Linked DNA regions of Callithrix jacchus. The protein of the gene in region 4 interacts with the protein of the main gene of each other region in a pairwise test. Links are inferred from orthologs where the notes say so. Each region holds a gene or a part of one and is shown on either strand. Other genes may lie near its edges.

Region 1 (4,196 bases), on a different chromosome or scaffold from region 4:
ACACTGCTGGCAGAGTGACACTATGAAAACTTTACATCCTTTCAGCGGTTTATTGCTCTTAGAATAAAAATAATTGTCTTTGGCTGGGCGCAGTGGCTCATGCCTGTAATTCCAGCACTTTGGGAGGCCGAGGCGGGTGGATCACAAGGTTAGACGTTTGAGATCAGCCTGACCAACATGGTGAAACCCCATCACTACTAAAAATACAAAAATTAGCAGGGCGTGGTAGCAGGCACCTGTAATCCCAGCTACTCGGGAGGCCGAGGCAGGAGAATTACTTGAACCCGGAGGCAGAGGTTGGGTGAGCCGAGATCGCGCCATTGCACTCCAGCCTGGGCGACATAGCGGGACTCCTTCTCAACAAAAAAAAAAAACAAAACAACAACAAAAATTAGCTGGGCATGGTGCTGCGCGCCTGTAATCCCAGCTAATCGATAGGCTGAGTCAGGAGAATCCCTTGAACCTGGGAGGCGGAGGGTGCAGTGAGCCGAGATCAGCCACTGCACTCCAGCGTGGGTGACAGAAAGAAACTCGTCTCGTTAAAAAAATAAAAATGTTTAGGCCGGGTGCAGTGGTTTACAGTTGTAATCCCAGCACTTTGGGAAGCCAAAGCGGGCAGATCACAAGGTCAGGAGTTCGAAACGAGCTAGACCAACAAAGTAAAACCGCGTCTCTACCAAAAATACAAAAAACTAGTCGGTAATCCTAGCTACTGAGGAGGCTGAGGCAGGAGAGTTGCTCGACCCGGGAGGCGAAGGTTGCAGTCAGCTGAGATCACGCCACTGCACTCTAGCCTGGAAGACAGAGCGAGACTCCGTCTCTAAAATTAAAAAAATGTAATCTAAAACTTCCCCTAGCCTTTTACCTCGTTGCCTTTCTGAGAGCAAGATGGGTCACCAGCAGCTGTACTGGAGCCACCCGCGAAAATTCGGCCAGGGTTCTCGCTCTTGACGAGTCTGTTCAAACCCGCACTGTTTGATACGTAAATACGGTCTCAATATGTGCCGCCAGTGTTTCCGTCAGTACGCGAAGGATATAGGTTTCATTAAGTTGGACTAAATGGTCTTCAAAGGATTATCCAAGACATCTACCATGAAAAACCATTTTTTTTTTTTTTTTTTTTGAGACGGAGTTTCGCTCTTGTTACCCAGGCTGGAGTGCAATGGCGCGATCTCGGCTCACCCAACCTCCGCCTCCTGGGTTCAGGCAATTCTCCTGCCTCAGCCTCCTGAGTAGCCGGGATTACAGGCACGCGCCACCATGCCCAGCTAATTTTTTGTATTTTTAGTAGAGACGGGGTTTCACCTTGTTGACCAGGATGGTCTCGATCTCTTGACCTCGTGATCCGCCCGCCTCGGCCTCCCAAAGTGCTGGGATTACAGGCTTGAGCCACCGCGCCCGGCCTCATGAAAAACCATTATACCTCTTTGTATATAAAATAAACATTTTTAAAAACCAAAAAAAAATTCCCCTAAATCTAAATCTTTTTCTTCACTTTCAGGCGGATTACTGCACAGATTAACATTTGTATGGCATTTTTACATCTCTATAGCAGGTCTACATTTGGATTTGAAATTTACCTTTGCGTAACCCTTACAAGAACTACTCACTTTGGACCTCACGAAGACTTAAAACTGAGAGTTAAAAACGACCCGGTTCAAGTAAAGAGGCTCAAATATGGCCGTTCAGTGCATGTGCAACACGTCTCAAAAGCTCTCTTCCTTCAGTTTGTGCGGCTGCCAATGTCTGGCTCCGCTTGCTCCTAAATCCTAAGGACACTGGGAAAAAGAAAATTCGTACCCAGCACCTTTGGTTTAGGATCCGTGTCCATCTAAAGGGAATTAAGGAGTTTCACGCTTTTCCAACCTCAGCTCAATGACCTCTTCCTAAAATCTTCCCTCACCGCCGGTTTTCTCCTGTAACCATTTCCCTCTGGCCCCGATATTCAGTTAATTCTTCCGACCGGACAAAGCACTTCTTCAAAACAGAACACCCGGGCCCGGAGCAGCGGCGTGTGCCCAAAAGCACTTTGGAAGGCCGAGGCGGAAAGGTCGCTTGAGCCTGGGCGGTCAAGGTGGCACTGAGCAGTGATGCTCACTCCAGCCTGGGAGACACGCAGGGACCCTGTTCCCAAAACCAAAACCTCAACACCTCATTTCTCTCTTGGTCCCCATCTCTTGACACCCTCAACCTCCTCTCCTCAGCTAAACCTAGCAAACCTCATTTCTTACTCCGCTGTACCAGGCTGCAATCATGTTCTTGGGGTTTATTCCTAAGAGGCAAGAGAAGAAAACCCGAAGGTACATTGTTTTCTCCTTAAAAGACAAATCCGGGCCGGGCGCGGTGGCTCATACCTGTAATCTCAGCACCTGGGACGGCCAAGGCAGATCACCTGAAGTCGGAGTTTGAGACCGGCCTGACCAACACGGTGAAACCCCATCTCTACTAAAAATACAAAAATCAGCTGGGCGTGGTGGCGCGTGCCTGTAGTCCCAGCTACTCGCGAGGCTGAGGCAGGAGAATCGCTTGAACCCAGAAGGCGGAGGTTGCCCTGAGCCGAGATCGGGCCATTGCACTCCAGCCTGGGCGACGCAGCGAGGCTCCGTCTCAATAATAATAATAATAATAATAATAATAATAATAATCAGGAGTGCTCAGGGAAGACAGAAACACGAGGAGACAAAGACAGAAAACACATTCACTAAGACTGTACCGACCTCCTTGCCTTTTACCTTCTCCATATTCGGACAGGAAGCGAAGCTTGGCCAGATGCTTCCAAAATGGCCCCTGGCCCCAGATTGTTGTTTGCAAAGTCTCCTCCCACTTCCTGCCTCCCAAAGACCCTTTTTCTCCCCACCTCTTCTTTTCTGCTCCCCTTCTGTTCCCTCCCCCACAATTTGTAAATGCTGAAATTGTATCCTTTCTTATTCATGAGGGGACTTTTGTAGGGGTGGAATCACTAATCCCATTCCTGGCCCTTTTCTGTGCACTTTTAATGTAATTATCCAAAGTATGGTTCCGGAGACCTTGAGAGGTAAAAGGCTCCTGCAGAACAATTCCTGGGGGGGGGGGGGGGGGGGGGGAGTTGCCAGAGACTTGACTTGTGCAGGATGTGGAAAGGGATTTAGTAATGGAACATGTGGAAACAGCAGACTTCAGGGACCAGACTGGTGGCTTGAAGAAAGCTAAACTATTTTCTCCCACCGAATACATTCCATTTCCTAAGGGAGTTACTCAACCAACTAAAACTCAGGTTTCTGTCTGTACCAACACCCAGCATCTTTTTCATCTGCCAATGATCTAGTAATCATAGGTTTTAAAGTCTGCAGAGTAGGACGGGCGTGGTGGCTCAAGCCTGCAGTCCCAGCACTTTGGGAGGCCCGGGTGGGCGGATCACAAGGTCAAGAGATCGATACCAATTTGGCCAACATAGTGAAACCCCATCTCTACTAAAAATACAAAAATTAGGCCGGGCGCGGTGGTTCACGCCTGTAATCCCAGCACTTTGGGAGGCCGAGGCGGGCGGATCACGAAGTCAAGAGATCGAGACCATCCTGGTCAACAGGGTGAAATCCCGTCTCTACTGAAAATACAAAAATTAGCCGGGCGTGGTAGCACGCGCCTGTAATCCCAGCTGCTCCGGAGGCTGAGGCGGAAAAATCGCTTGAACCCAGGCGGAGGTTGCAGTGAGCAGAGATTGCGCCACTGCACTCCAGCCTGGCGACAGAGTAAGACTCCATCTCAAAAAAATAAATAATAAATAATAATAATAATACAAAAATTAGCTGGGAGTGGTGGCGCGCGCCAGTAATCTCAGTTACTCAAGACGCCGAGGCAGGAGAATCGCTTGAACCCAGGAGGCGGAGGTTGCAGTGAGCCGAGATCTTCCCATTGCACTCCAGCCTGGCAATAGAGGGAGACTCCGTCTCAAAAAAAAAACGTCTATAGAGTATGTTATTTATTGTGTGTGTGTGTTGGGAGTGGGCAGGGCGGGGTCCTCTCTACTTTGACCAGGCTGGTCTCGAACTCTATGCTTCCAGTGATTCTCCAGCCTTCTCCTCCCAAGGTGTTGGCATTACACGTGTGAGCCAGCACTCCGAGCCCAAGTATTCTTTATATCAAATTGTGAGTTTAAAACTCAGTCAGGGCGTGGTGGCTCATGCCTGTAATCCCAGCACTTTGGGAGACTGAGGTGG
Region 2 (3,965 bases), on a different chromosome or scaffold from region 4:
CCAAATCACAAAAATCTGAAAGTTGGCCAGCCGTGATGGCTCACACCTGTAATCTCAGCACTTTGGGAGGCTGAGGCAGGCGGATCACTTGAGGTAAGGAGTTCAAGACCAGCCTGGCCAACACAGTGAAACCCTGTCTCTACTAAAAATACAAAAATGAGCTGAGCGTGGCGGCGGGAGCCTGTAATCCCAGCTCTCAGGAGGCACGAGAATTGCTTGAACCCGGGAGGCGGTGGTTGCGGTGAGCCGAGATTGCGCCACTGCACTCCAGCCTGTGTGACAGGAGCGAGACTCCATTTAAAAAAAATAATAATAATAATCTGAAAGTTCTATCAGCCTTCAGAGTTCCTGCCTCAGCCTACTTCCGCATCTTTATCTTGCACCCCACGTCTCTACAACCCACCCGCTACTGGTACCATTGGCCTTTCTGTTCCTGGAAGTGAGCCAAGCTTTCTACCCACATCCCGCCACCCCACCCCACTCCAGGACTTGTGCTTTCTGTTTCCTTTGTTTAGAAGGTTTGCTTCAGTTGTTGCAAGGCTGGTTTCATCTCATCTCAGATATCTGCTCTAGATTAATTTTTCCCACCATACTTCTCACCGTATTTTAATTCCTTCATAGTATTTGCTATACTCTCAAGGTTTTTTTTTAATTATTTCCCACCAAATCATAAGCAGATTTATTTTTAATACCTCATTCACTCACTGAAGGGTTGAATAAAACTGCCTACTTCTGAACGTGGAGGTCTTGGATAGCACTGTGGTATACGAAAGGCCATCTGTGTTGTGTCGACAGGCCATCGGAACTCTTTTGAGGTATTACACATTTCCTACTTCACTTTCATCTCATTTTATTACACAGCCTTTTATAGTTCCGGGACAGCAGTTAATACTGAGGCCTCTCCGGGGAAGACCGGGTAACTGCGTCCTGCTTTACCCATCTTGGCCTGCAGGGGACGGTGTGGTCGGAGTCCCCCTTTAGTGTACGCCGGCGTTCTAGGTGAACCAAGACATAGAGGTGGGAGAACTGAAGTAGAAAGGCGGGGCCAACAGGAAGGGGCGGGTCCATGGGCAAACCCACCCCTACAGGCCTGGTTTCGTCCCTTGCCCCGCCCCTTCCCCCGCCCTGACGGCCATGGCCATTCCCGGCATCCCCTATGAGAGACGGCTTCTCATCATGGCGGACCCTAGAGATAAGGCGCTTCAGGACTACCGCAAGAAGCTGCTTGAGCACAAGGAGATCGACGGCCGTCTTAAGGAGTGTGAGCGCACCCTTCTTTCTATGTAATCAAGTGCCTCGACTCGCTTCTGCCTCTAACAAAGTAGAAGCCTTTGGCCGAGCCCGGTAACCGAGACTTAGATATGACCAGGCCTCGGTCCAGGGACAAGGCGCTTTGTCATCCGGCCCTGAGCTTGGGGAGCAGCACTCCTTCGTGTGTAGAAATGGCCCAGTCCAGTCCAAGTGACAGAACATCCGCGGCCCTGAAGTGGAAATGAAAAAGAACTAGAGGAGGAGTGGGAAGAAGTAGGCCGAGGATGTTACTCAGGTTAGGGTGCAAGGAGGGCAGTGTTTTTGGAGTCCTGGGACTCGAAGAGGGGAAGGCGCTTGAGTCAAGGAAGCTCAAACAAGAGATGAGACTCAGGGAGTCGGCTTGTTGGAAGTAAAAGACGGCCGCGGAGCTTAAGAGAGAAGGGTTCCAGTTGTCACAATAACCCATTTCGTCTTTTGTCGTGTTTCCTGTTGTACTGTATCAAGGCATACAAATTTCCCTTACCTCTTGAGGGCTTAACTTTTTTTTTTTCCAGTGCATTTTCATTGAAAAGCATGAGTGGTTTAATTAAATGAAGGAGGACTGTAACTAAGTGATTCTGTGGAGAACTCCATTTTTTGACTTGAGGTTAGAATATCAGAGAAGAATCCAAGTGGGTAGGTGAATAGGTGAGGAAGGGTCTAACTAACTGATTATCATTCGGATTTGTAGTCGCAAATCCTAAGTGTCAATGTGTCAATATCTGTTAAGAATATAACTTAATGTGCTTAAACAAGTGTTGCCGATCAAGAAAATAAAATTACGGTGCTTTCTCTGAAACATTTTTTTGTTGTACATGCCACCTACTATTACAAACAGCATTGTTTCTTTTGTGGTTTGAAATAGTGGATGTGAAACTTAGGTAAAGTGAAATAGACTTAAGTAAACACTAAAGTGAGATTTAGCGATTTAAACACATTAAGATTACTGTTCAACTAAAAATGTTCAAATTGTATTATTTCAGTAAGGGAACAATTAAAAGAACTTACCAAGCAGTATGAAAAGTCTGAAAATGATTTGAAGGCCCTACAAAGTGTTGGGCAGGTAGGTAATGGAGTTTGGGGATTAGCGGGTGATGGTAATTTGCTTTTTTATTTAGGTGTTGCCAAAAAGTAATGCTTTTTATTTTCTTCCTTAGATTGTGGGTGAAGTGCTTAAACAGTTAACCGAAGAAAAATGTGAGTGAATTTAGATTAGTAATTAGTAAAGAAACAGCTCACCTCTCTCTAACTTTTGAAATGCATATTATTTCAAAATGCATAATGACACTAATGCAGAGAGAGAGTATTTTTGCATAGACTTAAGTTTGTCTTCAACTATTGTCTTCTTGGAGGACAGAAAATAAAACTAAGCCCTCTATCAATGTGGATATGTATTTTTTTACTTTGTTTTTCAATTACTTCTTTTTTGTTTTTTTCTTCTAGTCATCGTTAAAGCAACAAATGGACCGAGATATGTTGTGGGTTGTCGTCGACAGGTAATACTTTTTATTTGTCTAGTGCTTGCTGATTGATAAAAGCAGTTTCATGTAAGTTATTGTCTCTAATTCTTGAGGCAAACAGGTTGGGCATTTATGCCCATAACTGACAAGGGTGATTTGTTCAGACATAGCTAGTTATTAACAAAGCCTGAATTCAAACCATAGGCTTTGACTCCTGGCATTCTCTACTTTCTACTGTATTACATTGTCTCAGTCAGATCTATTAACAGTGACTTAGAAATCAGTGTTTTAGAACTGGAAAATAGGCATTTTATGTTAGTATCTTTTTCATGTGTGTGTGTGAGAGACAATATCACTCTGTCACCAGGCTGAAGAGCAGTGGCACGATCTTGGCTCACTGCAACCTCCAACTCCCTGGTTCAAATGATTTTCCCTGCCTCAGCCTCCAGAGTAGCTGGAATTACAGGCATGCACCACCATGCCCAGCTAATTTTTTTTTTGTATTTTTAGTAGAGACTGGGTTTCGCCATGTTGGCTGGGATGGTTTTGATCTGACCTGGTGATCCACCTGCCTCGGCCTCTTAAAGTGCTGGGATTACAGGTGTGAGCCACAACACCTGGCTTTAATGTCATTTTTAAAGAGGACTTAGAAGTGTTAGATACGATCAGTTACCTGTGTTTATATTTCAGCATTCAGAACTGTTACTGATAAGACTGTACCATGGCCTAAGTTAATTTTGTATGAGGTCATTTAGATTAGGGTAGGACAAGTTGAAATAATTCTGAATTTTATTTTACCGTCACTAAAGATGCCAACAAATGACCTCAGGTCATTCAGTAGTGTCTGAAATCAATTTATGTACTATAGGAAGTGTCCTTAGGTAGAGACTTCTTTTAAATTCATTGGAAGAGCTCTGTGTAATTGTCATTTTGGGTTCGGATTTTAAAACATTCACAGGACATGGCTGTAGGGGAGAATTTAATCCAGGGAATAAATCTTGTATTAAGATTTTGCCTAGTATATTAAGTGGTTGACATTTTTTAAGTCAAACTATTAGATACCTAAACTGACAAGGGGTTTTTATGTCCGTTTCAGGGCTTTCTGGATGCCAAAAGTTGGCATTAAGATATTTCAGGTTGCATGAGGACAAGACAATATTTGAAAACTAGAAAACATTAGAAAAGCCAAGGTATATATAAGTTGAGTATCCCTTA
Region 3 (4,176 bases), on a different chromosome or scaffold from region 4:
GACCTAATAATGAAGCCTCCTCGAATAATGTTTGTAAATGAACAAAATGAAATTAATAGCATTAAAAAAAGAAAAAGAAAAAATACTAAGATCACAAAGAAAACCAATTATATGAAAACTCAATTATAACCACAGACCACAGTTCTAATCATGGGCATTTGGTTCAACAACTCCTGATAGAGGATATGCATTAACTTGGAAGAACATATAACATTAATTGCCTGAATATTCTATATACTGTACATGGTATCTATGACATTCCTATTAATTAAAAAAAATGTATAACCTGCAAAGATTAGGATATTACATAAAGTTATTTAAAATTTAACCTTTGAGGATTTTTACTTGTAGCAGAACAGGTTGCATCCATTTCCTGTTCCTATTATGTACAAATACTGTAATACAAAATTTTCTAAAAATCATCAATGTAAAATTAACAATACTACATTTGAACATCATTAATTTCTACCTAGCTCTTCAAAGATGGCATAAATCAGCACACTTCCTTCCTTAAAACAAGAGCTCGTGAGCAAGCGTAAGCTAAACTGGCAATCATCTTGGTCCTATCACACCTAGCACACTGTGTTCAAAATGCTACCAAATGCAATATATAAACTAACCAACTTTCTATAAGTTGTTTTGAGGTCTACAAGCAAGAAATACCTTATAGTTAAAGCTGTCAAAAAGGATCTCCTAAGTATTTTAATAACTAAACATCCTTGTAGGATAGTTTAATCCACCACTTTATAAAGATCAAATATATTTTTGGAAAGTTGTAGGGTAAAGCAATGTACCCTCTCCTACCCCAGTAAGTAAGAGAGTTCCAAACAGCTCCAGGAGGGAAAATAATTCTGATTTTGGCTTTTAAAGCTATATATAACCTTAAATAAGATAAAAATGTTCATTTTGAAACTTTGTCTTGTTAAAACAAACTTGTAAACCATATGGTATCAAAGCTGTATTTCTTGATACTACATAGTGTAAAATAAACATCTAACACTAAACAATATAAAAGAACTTGAATTACAGCACATATGGCAGATCTTAAGAGTACTGTAATTTTTCTTTTTTCTTTTTTTGAGGAAAGAATAAACTAGGTGGAAAAGTCTAACTTCCCATTAAAATATCTTTTTAAAAACTATCTTTCGCATCATTTAGTGAAAATAATATTAATGAATTAGCGTCATATTCCATGAACTTATACAATCTACATACATTTACAAAAAAAATTTTTAAATTCTTAGGAAAGGCCAGTTCTTAGTCTCTTATTTTTTACACGTTAGGAAGAAATACACACACCTACCAGTTTCATTAATGAAAAAATCTTAACAAATCATTTTCATGGTTTATCACCAGTAATCAAGAACCTGGACAAATTGTATCAAGGAGTTTATTTTAAAAGTCTTTGAAATACAAAACAAAAACCCTGTTTCTCGGACGATAATTAACTCCTACTTACACTGAGTTTGTCCATTTGAATTCTTATGACAGCAGCAGAGAAATCATATATTACTTTTGCAGAGTAAGTTTTGTTCACTTTGGGTTTTTAAAACAATTTATCTTTAACAAGACGAAGGGTCTTTGCTTAGATCATCATCATGGAACTGAAAAGAACAGAAAATAAAACTAACAAGTTTTCAATGTAGCCAAAAGTTCATTTCCATCAGACATTTTGTGTTAACACTTGCTACTCATTTTAAATAGCGAAAAACTAGCAAGGCTTTTCTTTAAAGAACGAACTAAAAGTGAATCAGAGCCTAATCACAAAACCCTTCCTTCTTGTTTACTGTTAAACCTAAATCAAAAATAGCCTTTGATATTCTTCACAAAATATATATATTTATACATACACACACACCTAAATCTATTTCCAGATAAGGAAACGTTCGGAAAACTTTGCTGTCCAACTGGTAATGCACTCCAGACTTTGCAATGATAAAGAAAATCTTGTAGTAGGGTTACAAACCTCAAAACATCCTCTGATTGCAGGTTTTAGAAACCCTTCCTATTACACCTGTGCAAGTACTTCCTGTCCTCCAACGCTGTTTAAAAATAGTTTAGTAAATGCCCCATAAGCCGCCGTTTGGAAGCTAAACATTAACTTTATATAAATCACCACTATCACTGAGAAACCACCACCCCAAGAACCTCACAAGTCCAGTCATCTCTCTTCTCCAAGGAGGGAGCATAACCATCCTGGACACCTTTATATAAAAAAAACTGTGTGGTCAGGCGAGGTAACGTGGCTTGGATAGCCAGAGGCAGGAGCCAAGTAAGGGTAATATTCACTACCCCAGAAGGACTCCAACTTCTGCCCCGTCGCCGCCCGCAAACACGGCAGCAATAACAACCAGGACCCAGCAAGTACAGCACCTCCTCCAGCCTCGCGCGCGCCTCCAGCCTGGCCAGAGGCATCTCCACCAGACGCAGCAAGAAGGGACTAGAGGGCTGCGTGACCTCCGGCGCCTGAACGGCCCAGTAAAGAGAGTGTGTGCCCTGAAGGCCGGGCGGGGAGAGGAGGTCTCCCGGCTGCGAGGAGAGAGACGTGGTCGGGGTCCAGAATGAGAGTAGCTGGGTCAGGCCCGCGGGGGTCGCAGGTCGCCGGATCTCCAACCAGAGGCTAGTTTCCGAGACTTACCTTGAGCTACTACCCTCTCTGCGCTAGGAGCTTACGGTCCAGATAGAGAAATACTGGCCTTCCACTCCCACAGAGCTGCCTCCGGCTGGCCCAGCTCCGCTTCTCGCCGACACCCGCCAGACACACCAACAGCTGCCAACGTACCAAGGCTCACCGGGAACTAGAGCAGAGACGGCTGGTCTCCGCCGCCCAGAGCCCGACCCTGAGCGCGGAGCATGCGCACACGCCCCAATACCCAGGAGCCAGTCAGGCCAGTGACACCTGCGATCAACAGGTCCCTGGAGCCCCGCCCCTCTCCCCGCCTCGAGCCCGCCCCCTCGGAGTTGGCTCCGCCTTCAGGCTCACCAAGGTAACCCCGCCTCCGCACGCTATTTCCCGGCTTTCCGGACCTGCGGAATTCTATTCCCGCGGGGATTTGATGGCGAGCGCGATATAGTTGGCGTCCTCGGAGGCGCGAGATCGCGCGAGACCGGGAGACATTTCCCCAAATCGGGAGCGTCACGCTGGAGCTTGGTTGTGGGGTGAAAGGTAGTTGTGGGACGTGCTGTCTGGTGTACCGAGGAAGAGAGGCTAGTTCCTCAGGAGGAGGCGATTATTCTGATGCTCTCGGTAGTTCATTCAGTATTTTCTAAGCTCGAGAACGGGGATCCACCGAGGACTGCGCTTAGGTTAGATGTCGCTTGAGAGAGCAATCCGTAGCTTGTCATCAAAACGCCAAGCAGACACTCAGTTTCCTATAGCTTTCTGTGAGTCGTTAGACGATCTATTTGCAGTTAAATGACTTCCTGTGGCGTGAATGGGTACTCCCCAAGCGGTTGTTTCGTGGCCTTTAATTAGATAGCTTTAATAAGCCTGTTGTCCTGGTTAATGATTGTCAGAAAAGACTGGCCGCCTTCTCACCGTGCTTTCGAACAGATTTTAAGTTTAAAAAGTACTGCGGGGAATTATGCCAAACTTTGATTTTAAAAAACGTTTCTTAGGAATAGTAGTAAAAGCAAAACCCATCGTCATTGATATCAAAGATCTCTGAAGTAAATAAGGTTTTGGAACTCAATTGCAAATCTGGTGTAAGTAGAAAATACTGATTGTAAAAAATGGATTTAAGTAAACCCAGAGGCACTTCTAAAATTTTATTTGAAGAAACGGGGAAGAAATATTCGACGTTGACACAGGCGACAAATGGGACCCGTTTGTAATGTCTAGACTGAATCCTTAAGAATGTATGGAGCATTTACTATGTTCCCTGTACTGAACTAGACACTGTAGGAAATAGAATGAAAGGAAGCCGTGGCTTCTGCCCTCAAAATACTAAAAACTTTGGGAGGAGTTGGGGAAGAAAGGGCCTACTCTGCATTTTTAAAACAATAAGAGCACACCATCAACTCTCCCTTCAGTTTCCCTAATGTTATTTTCTCCTCATTACACAGCTACTTTAAATATTGTTTTTGTTCTGCTTGGTCTCTGTGTTCTCCAGCACTCCATTTTCTTTTGCTGTTTCTGTTTAATGTTAATCCTCATGTCTCCTTGAGCAGTCTCTT
Region 4 (4,129 bases):
CAAGGCCTCAAAAGAGAGAACTCTGCTCCCTTTGCTTTGAATGTCCTTCTCCATTTGCCATTCAACAGTTAACACATGCCACCTCCTCTGGGAAGGTTTCCTGGATTACTCCATAGACTGGACTGGGGGCTCTGCTCTGTGTCCATATCTGTCTCCCATGATAGCGCTCGTCAGCATTTGTCATCCTTTTGTCATCCAGTTTCCTGGTTCCTCTCACTAGTCTGTGAGTTGGAGGAGGGCAGGGCCTGGCCTCCATCACCTTTGCACCCACAGTGCAGGCAGAGTGTCAGTAACGATATGCTGAATGAATAAATGGAAACGAGAACGTCAGCGGAGAAGCGAGAGGAATGCACACAAACAGACCGACGTGGCCGGGCGCAAATGGCTGTCGCCTGTAATCTCAGCACTCTGGGAGGCCGAGGCGGGTGGATCACCTGAGGTTAGGAGTTTGAGACCAGCTGGCTAACAACGTGAAAACCCCATCTCTGCTAAAAATTAAAAAATGAGCCGGGTGTGGTGGTGGGCACCTGTAGTCCTAGCTGCTAGGGAGGCTGAGGCAGGAGAATCGTTTGAACCCGGGAGGCAGAGGTAGCAGTGAGCAGAGACTGCGACACGGCACTCCAGTCTGGGTGACAAAGCGAGAATCCGTCTCCAAAAAAAAAAAAAAAAAAGAAGCTGGACGCAGTGGCTCTTGCCGGTAATCCCAGCACACTGGGATGCCCAGGCGGGCTGATCACGAGGTCAGACGTTCGAGACCAGCCTGGCCAACATGGTGAAACTCCATCTCTACTAAAAATACCAAAAAAATTAGCCGGGCGTGGTGGCGCGCGCCTGTAGTCCCAGCTACTCGGGAGGCGGAGGCGGGGGTTGCAGTGAGCCGAGATCGCGTCACTGCACTACAGCCTGGGCATCAGAGCGAGACTCCGTCTCAAAAAAAAGAAACAGACCGACACTTCAGGAAGCCTGGCCGAAAACTCGGGGGGGGGTTACATGCATCTTTTCTCCTCCAGTTCTGTCTGGGAGTCGCTATCTAGAAGACCCAGGCCTTCCGTGAACGATAGCCTGGTTGTGGGGGGTGGGGGAAGGGCCACCGCGGCCAGTGGCGCAGGCGCACATCTCTGCGGCAGGCGGTGAGACCCCGCCCCCACGCCCTAGACCCCGCCTCCCAGCCCCTGGCCCGGCCAGGCGGCACCGCCCATGAGGCCGCATGCGCAGTGCGCGCGCGAGGCCGCCTTGCCCTTCTCCCAATGGCGGGCGGCGGGCCCTTTCCCGGCAGCCTCCCCAGGGCAGGGAGCGCGTCATTTCCGGTGGGGAAGACCCGCGGCCTCCGCCGCCATTTCGGGCGCTGCTGTGAGGTTGAAACCGGAGCCGGTCTGCTGGGCGGCGGGCGCCGTGGGCAGGAGGGGCGCGCGCGGCGCGGCAGCCCAGCGTGTAGGCGCGGAGGCAGCCATGGCGGGCAACTTCGACTCGGAGGAGCGGAGTAGCTGGTACTGGGGGCGTCTGAGTCGGCAGGAGGCGGTGGCGCTGCTGCAGGGCCAGCGGCACGGGGTCTTCCTGGTGCGGGACTCGAGCACCAGCCCCGGGGACTATGTACTCAGCGTGTCCGAGAACTCGCGCGTCTCCCACTACATCATCAACAGCAGCGGCCCGCGCCCGCCGGTGCCGCCGTCGCCCGCGCAGCCGCCGTCCGGTGAGGGACGGACGGGACGGACGGGACGCGGGGGCTGGGCGTGGTGAGGCCCGCGGAACTGGCAGCCCAGCCGGCTGCTGCTCCAGCGGACCCTCGGGGGTCGCGGGCCGAGGGCTGGGGGACCGCGGCGCCCAGCCGGGGAGCGGGAGCGTCGGGAGGAGGAGCCGCGGGCCGAGGCCCCTGGGTGTGCCTGCGGAGAGCGGCCCGGGGAAGGGGAACTGCTTCGGCCCAGGGTGGGGCTGGCTCCCGGGCCCGGCGCTCGGGGAGGGAGCGCAGGGCAGCGTGCGGACAAAGAGCCGAGGGAGCTGTTGGCACTGCGGGGGCATCCCTTGGCAGCGGTGCCCAGAATGAATCCGGTAATCCTGCAAGTGGCTTTTAGGCTGGAATCGTTTCCTGCCGGGTTTGGCCGTGCTCCCCTGGTGGCCTGGGGTGGGAAGTCACCACGTACTGGCCGGGAGGGATGGAGACACCCTCAGGAAGCCGGTCCGTTTTTTCCTTTCTTGGGCATTTTTCCAAAATACTTCCACCGTCCTCTTCCCCGGTTGAGGACGAAGGGGGTGAACTAAGTGCCTGGGTGATCGGAGGACGCCTTCAGGAACCAGTCCGACCCGCTGTCGGGGCATGTTGGCGGTGTCGGAGCGATCTAAGCGTCCCCGTAGGCTGCCCTCCGCTGTTATAGGCTCTGGTTCTCAGTGTTTAGTGGAGGAAAGACATCTTATTCCAGAAAGTAAACCAGAAGTGAGGCAATGGAAACAGCCCCATCCCTGGAAGGATCTGGAACTTGATATTCCCTGGGCTTGAACAGGGTCCGTGTGTACTCCAGGGCGTGACCTTGCCCCGTGAGCCGAGACTGCGGGCTGGATCTTCCTGGATGTTGGGAACAGACTGCGCAGAGGACATGAATGGTCTGCACGGGGTTTCCTTGCCGGGGACCCCAGGGAGGTGACTGCCTTGCCGGTGACATTGAGTTGTTTGGGAGGGTTAAGGGAGTAGATTTGTGTCCTTAGTGCTGGAGACTGAGGTGCAGAGTCATTCTGAGGTCCCGTTAGATGTGTATGTCTGTGGAACAGCGTCAGGACTTCTCGTGCCTTCACGCTGTTGCCAAGTCCAAGCAGCTTCTCTGCCAGCTTAGACTAGCTCCGGGCTAGCCTCCTATGAATCTAGAAGCTCCTGAGTCAGCCTTTGTACGCTTGCCCTTGTAGGATAGTTCTGATTTAGAGTTACTTTCTGGCCAGAAATAGAGAACTGGATGGGCAGTTTCTTTGTGGTTAACACATACCAATATTTATTTTACTTTTTTCTGAGATGGAGTCTTGTTCCGATGCCCATGCCAGAGTGCAGTGGCGCAGTCTTGGCTCACTGCAGCCTCCACTTCCTGGGTTCAAGCGATTCTCCTGTCTCAGCCTCCCGAGTAGCCGGGATTACAGGCGCGCACCACCACGCCAGACTAATTTTTGTATTTTTTTGTTGTTTTGTTATTGTTGTTGTTTTTATTGAGACGGGGTCTTGCTATGTTGCCCAGGCTGCACTGCAGTGGCTGTTGTTCACAGGTGCGATCCCACTACTGATCAGCATGGGAGTTTTGACTTGCTCCATTCCGACCTGGGCCGATTCACCCCTCCTTAGGCAACGTGGTGGTCCCGCGCTCACGGGAGGTCACCATATTGATGCTGAACTTAGTGCGGACACCGGATTGGCATAGTGCACTACAGCCCAGAACTCCTGGGCTCAAGAGATCCTCCCACCTCAGCCGCCCTGGTAGCTGGGACTACAGGCACGCGCCACTGCGCCTGGCTAATTTTTTTTTTAGTAAAGGCGGTGTTTCAACATGTTGACCAGGCAGGCCTCAAACTTCTGACCTCAGGTGAACCGCCTGCCCCAAAATATTAGGATTACAGGCATGAGCCACCACTCCTGGCCCAGCACATAACAGTTTTTAAAAATGAATATGGGGTCTTTATATTCACAAATTATTCTGGGTCTTTCTCATTCTGGCCAGCTTAATAGTATTGTAATATGAGATGGGAATATTGATGCACATGTGTTTGCCTTTAACCAGATTCTATTCTACTTTGATGCCACCTGCATGGTATCTAGGGTTTTGCATTTCACATAGTAACATGATGGCAAACTGTGATTGAAATCACTTTTCAGCCTTTTGTTTCACACCTCAGTGTAATGATTTTCTGTCTCAGCACTTACTTTGATATTGAGCACCACCTTTTCAAAACAGATAAGAGCTCAGTTCCTTGGCCCAGGACAGAAGGCGAAGATTGCCAAAGTTTGTGGACGGGGTGTGGAAAATTCACAAGTATTGTGATAATTCTTTCTGCCATGTACCCTGTATTCCATGATTCAGTTGCTGTCTTTCTCTCGATTCTGAGACAGGGCCTTTGTCACCCATGCTGGAATGCAGTAACATGAGCACCGCTCATCCTT

Evidence for each region. The genes of interacting proteins can lie anywhere in the genome.
Region 1: the proteins of CRK (region 4) and DPPA4 interact in binary tests that used the Homo sapiens proteins (3 or more experiments, as listed by UniProt). The two-hybrid records come from large-scale screens. The link is inferred for Callithrix jacchus from reciprocal best matches to the Homo sapiens genes CRK and DPPA4.
Region 2: the proteins of CRK (region 4) and PSMC6 interact in binary tests that used the Homo sapiens proteins (3 or more experiments, as listed by UniProt). The two-hybrid records come from large-scale screens. The link is inferred for Callithrix jacchus from reciprocal best matches to the Homo sapiens genes CRK and PSMC6.
Region 3: the proteins of CRK (region 4) and USP53 interact in binary tests that used the Homo sapiens proteins (3 or more experiments, as listed by UniProt). The two-hybrid records come from large-scale screens. The link is inferred for Callithrix jacchus from reciprocal best matches to the Homo sapiens genes CRK and USP53.

The regions. Positions count from the first base shown.
Region 1 is NC_133516.1:100,617,561-100,621,756, forward strand, and holds the start of DPPA4 (developmental pluripotency-associated protein 4), read right to left. Parts: upstream 2,801-4,196; 5' UTR 2,742-2,800; coding exon 2,718-2,741; intron 1,098-2,717; exon of another isoform or gene 857-1,097; intron 1-856. UniProt on the Homo sapiens protein: May be involved in the maintenance of active epigenetic status of target genes. May inhibit differentiation of embryonic cells into a primitive ectoderm lineage.
Region 2 is NC_133509.1:87,260,229-87,264,193, forward strand, and holds the start of PSMC6 (26S proteasome regulatory subunit 10B), read left to right. Parts: upstream 1-1,165; 5' UTR 1,166-1,176; coding exon 1,177-1,261; exon of another isoform or gene 1,262-1,546; intron 1,547-2,273; coding exon 2,274-2,353; intron 2,354-2,447; coding exon 2,448-2,487; intron 2,488-2,733; coding exon 2,734-2,786; intron 2,787-3,965. UniProt on the Homo sapiens protein: Component of the 26S proteasome, a multiprotein complex involved in the ATP-dependent degradation of ubiquitinated proteins.
Region 3 is NC_133504.1:78,358,269-78,362,444, forward strand, and holds the start of USP53 (ubiquitin carboxyl-terminal hydrolase 53), read right to left. Parts: upstream 2,801-4,176; 5' UTR 2,639-2,800; intron 2,408-2,638; exon of another isoform or gene 2,374-2,407; intron 1,605-2,373; 5' UTR 1,460-1,604; intron 1-1,459. Other genes in the region: uncharacterized protein LOC144581759, read left to right, coding at 2,854-2,987. UniProt on the Homo sapiens protein: Deubiquitinase that mediates 'Lys-63'-linked deubiquitination of tight junction proteins, such as MARVELD2 and LSR, and which is involved in the survival of auditory hair cells and hearing.
Region 4 is NC_133506.1:66,779,967-66,784,095, forward strand, and holds the start of CRK (adapter molecule crk), read left to right. Parts: upstream 1-1,329; 5' UTR 1,330-1,449; coding exon 1,450-1,690; intron 1,691-4,129. UniProt on the Homo sapiens protein: Involved in cell branching and adhesion mediated by BCAR1-CRK-RAPGEF1 signaling and activation of RAP1.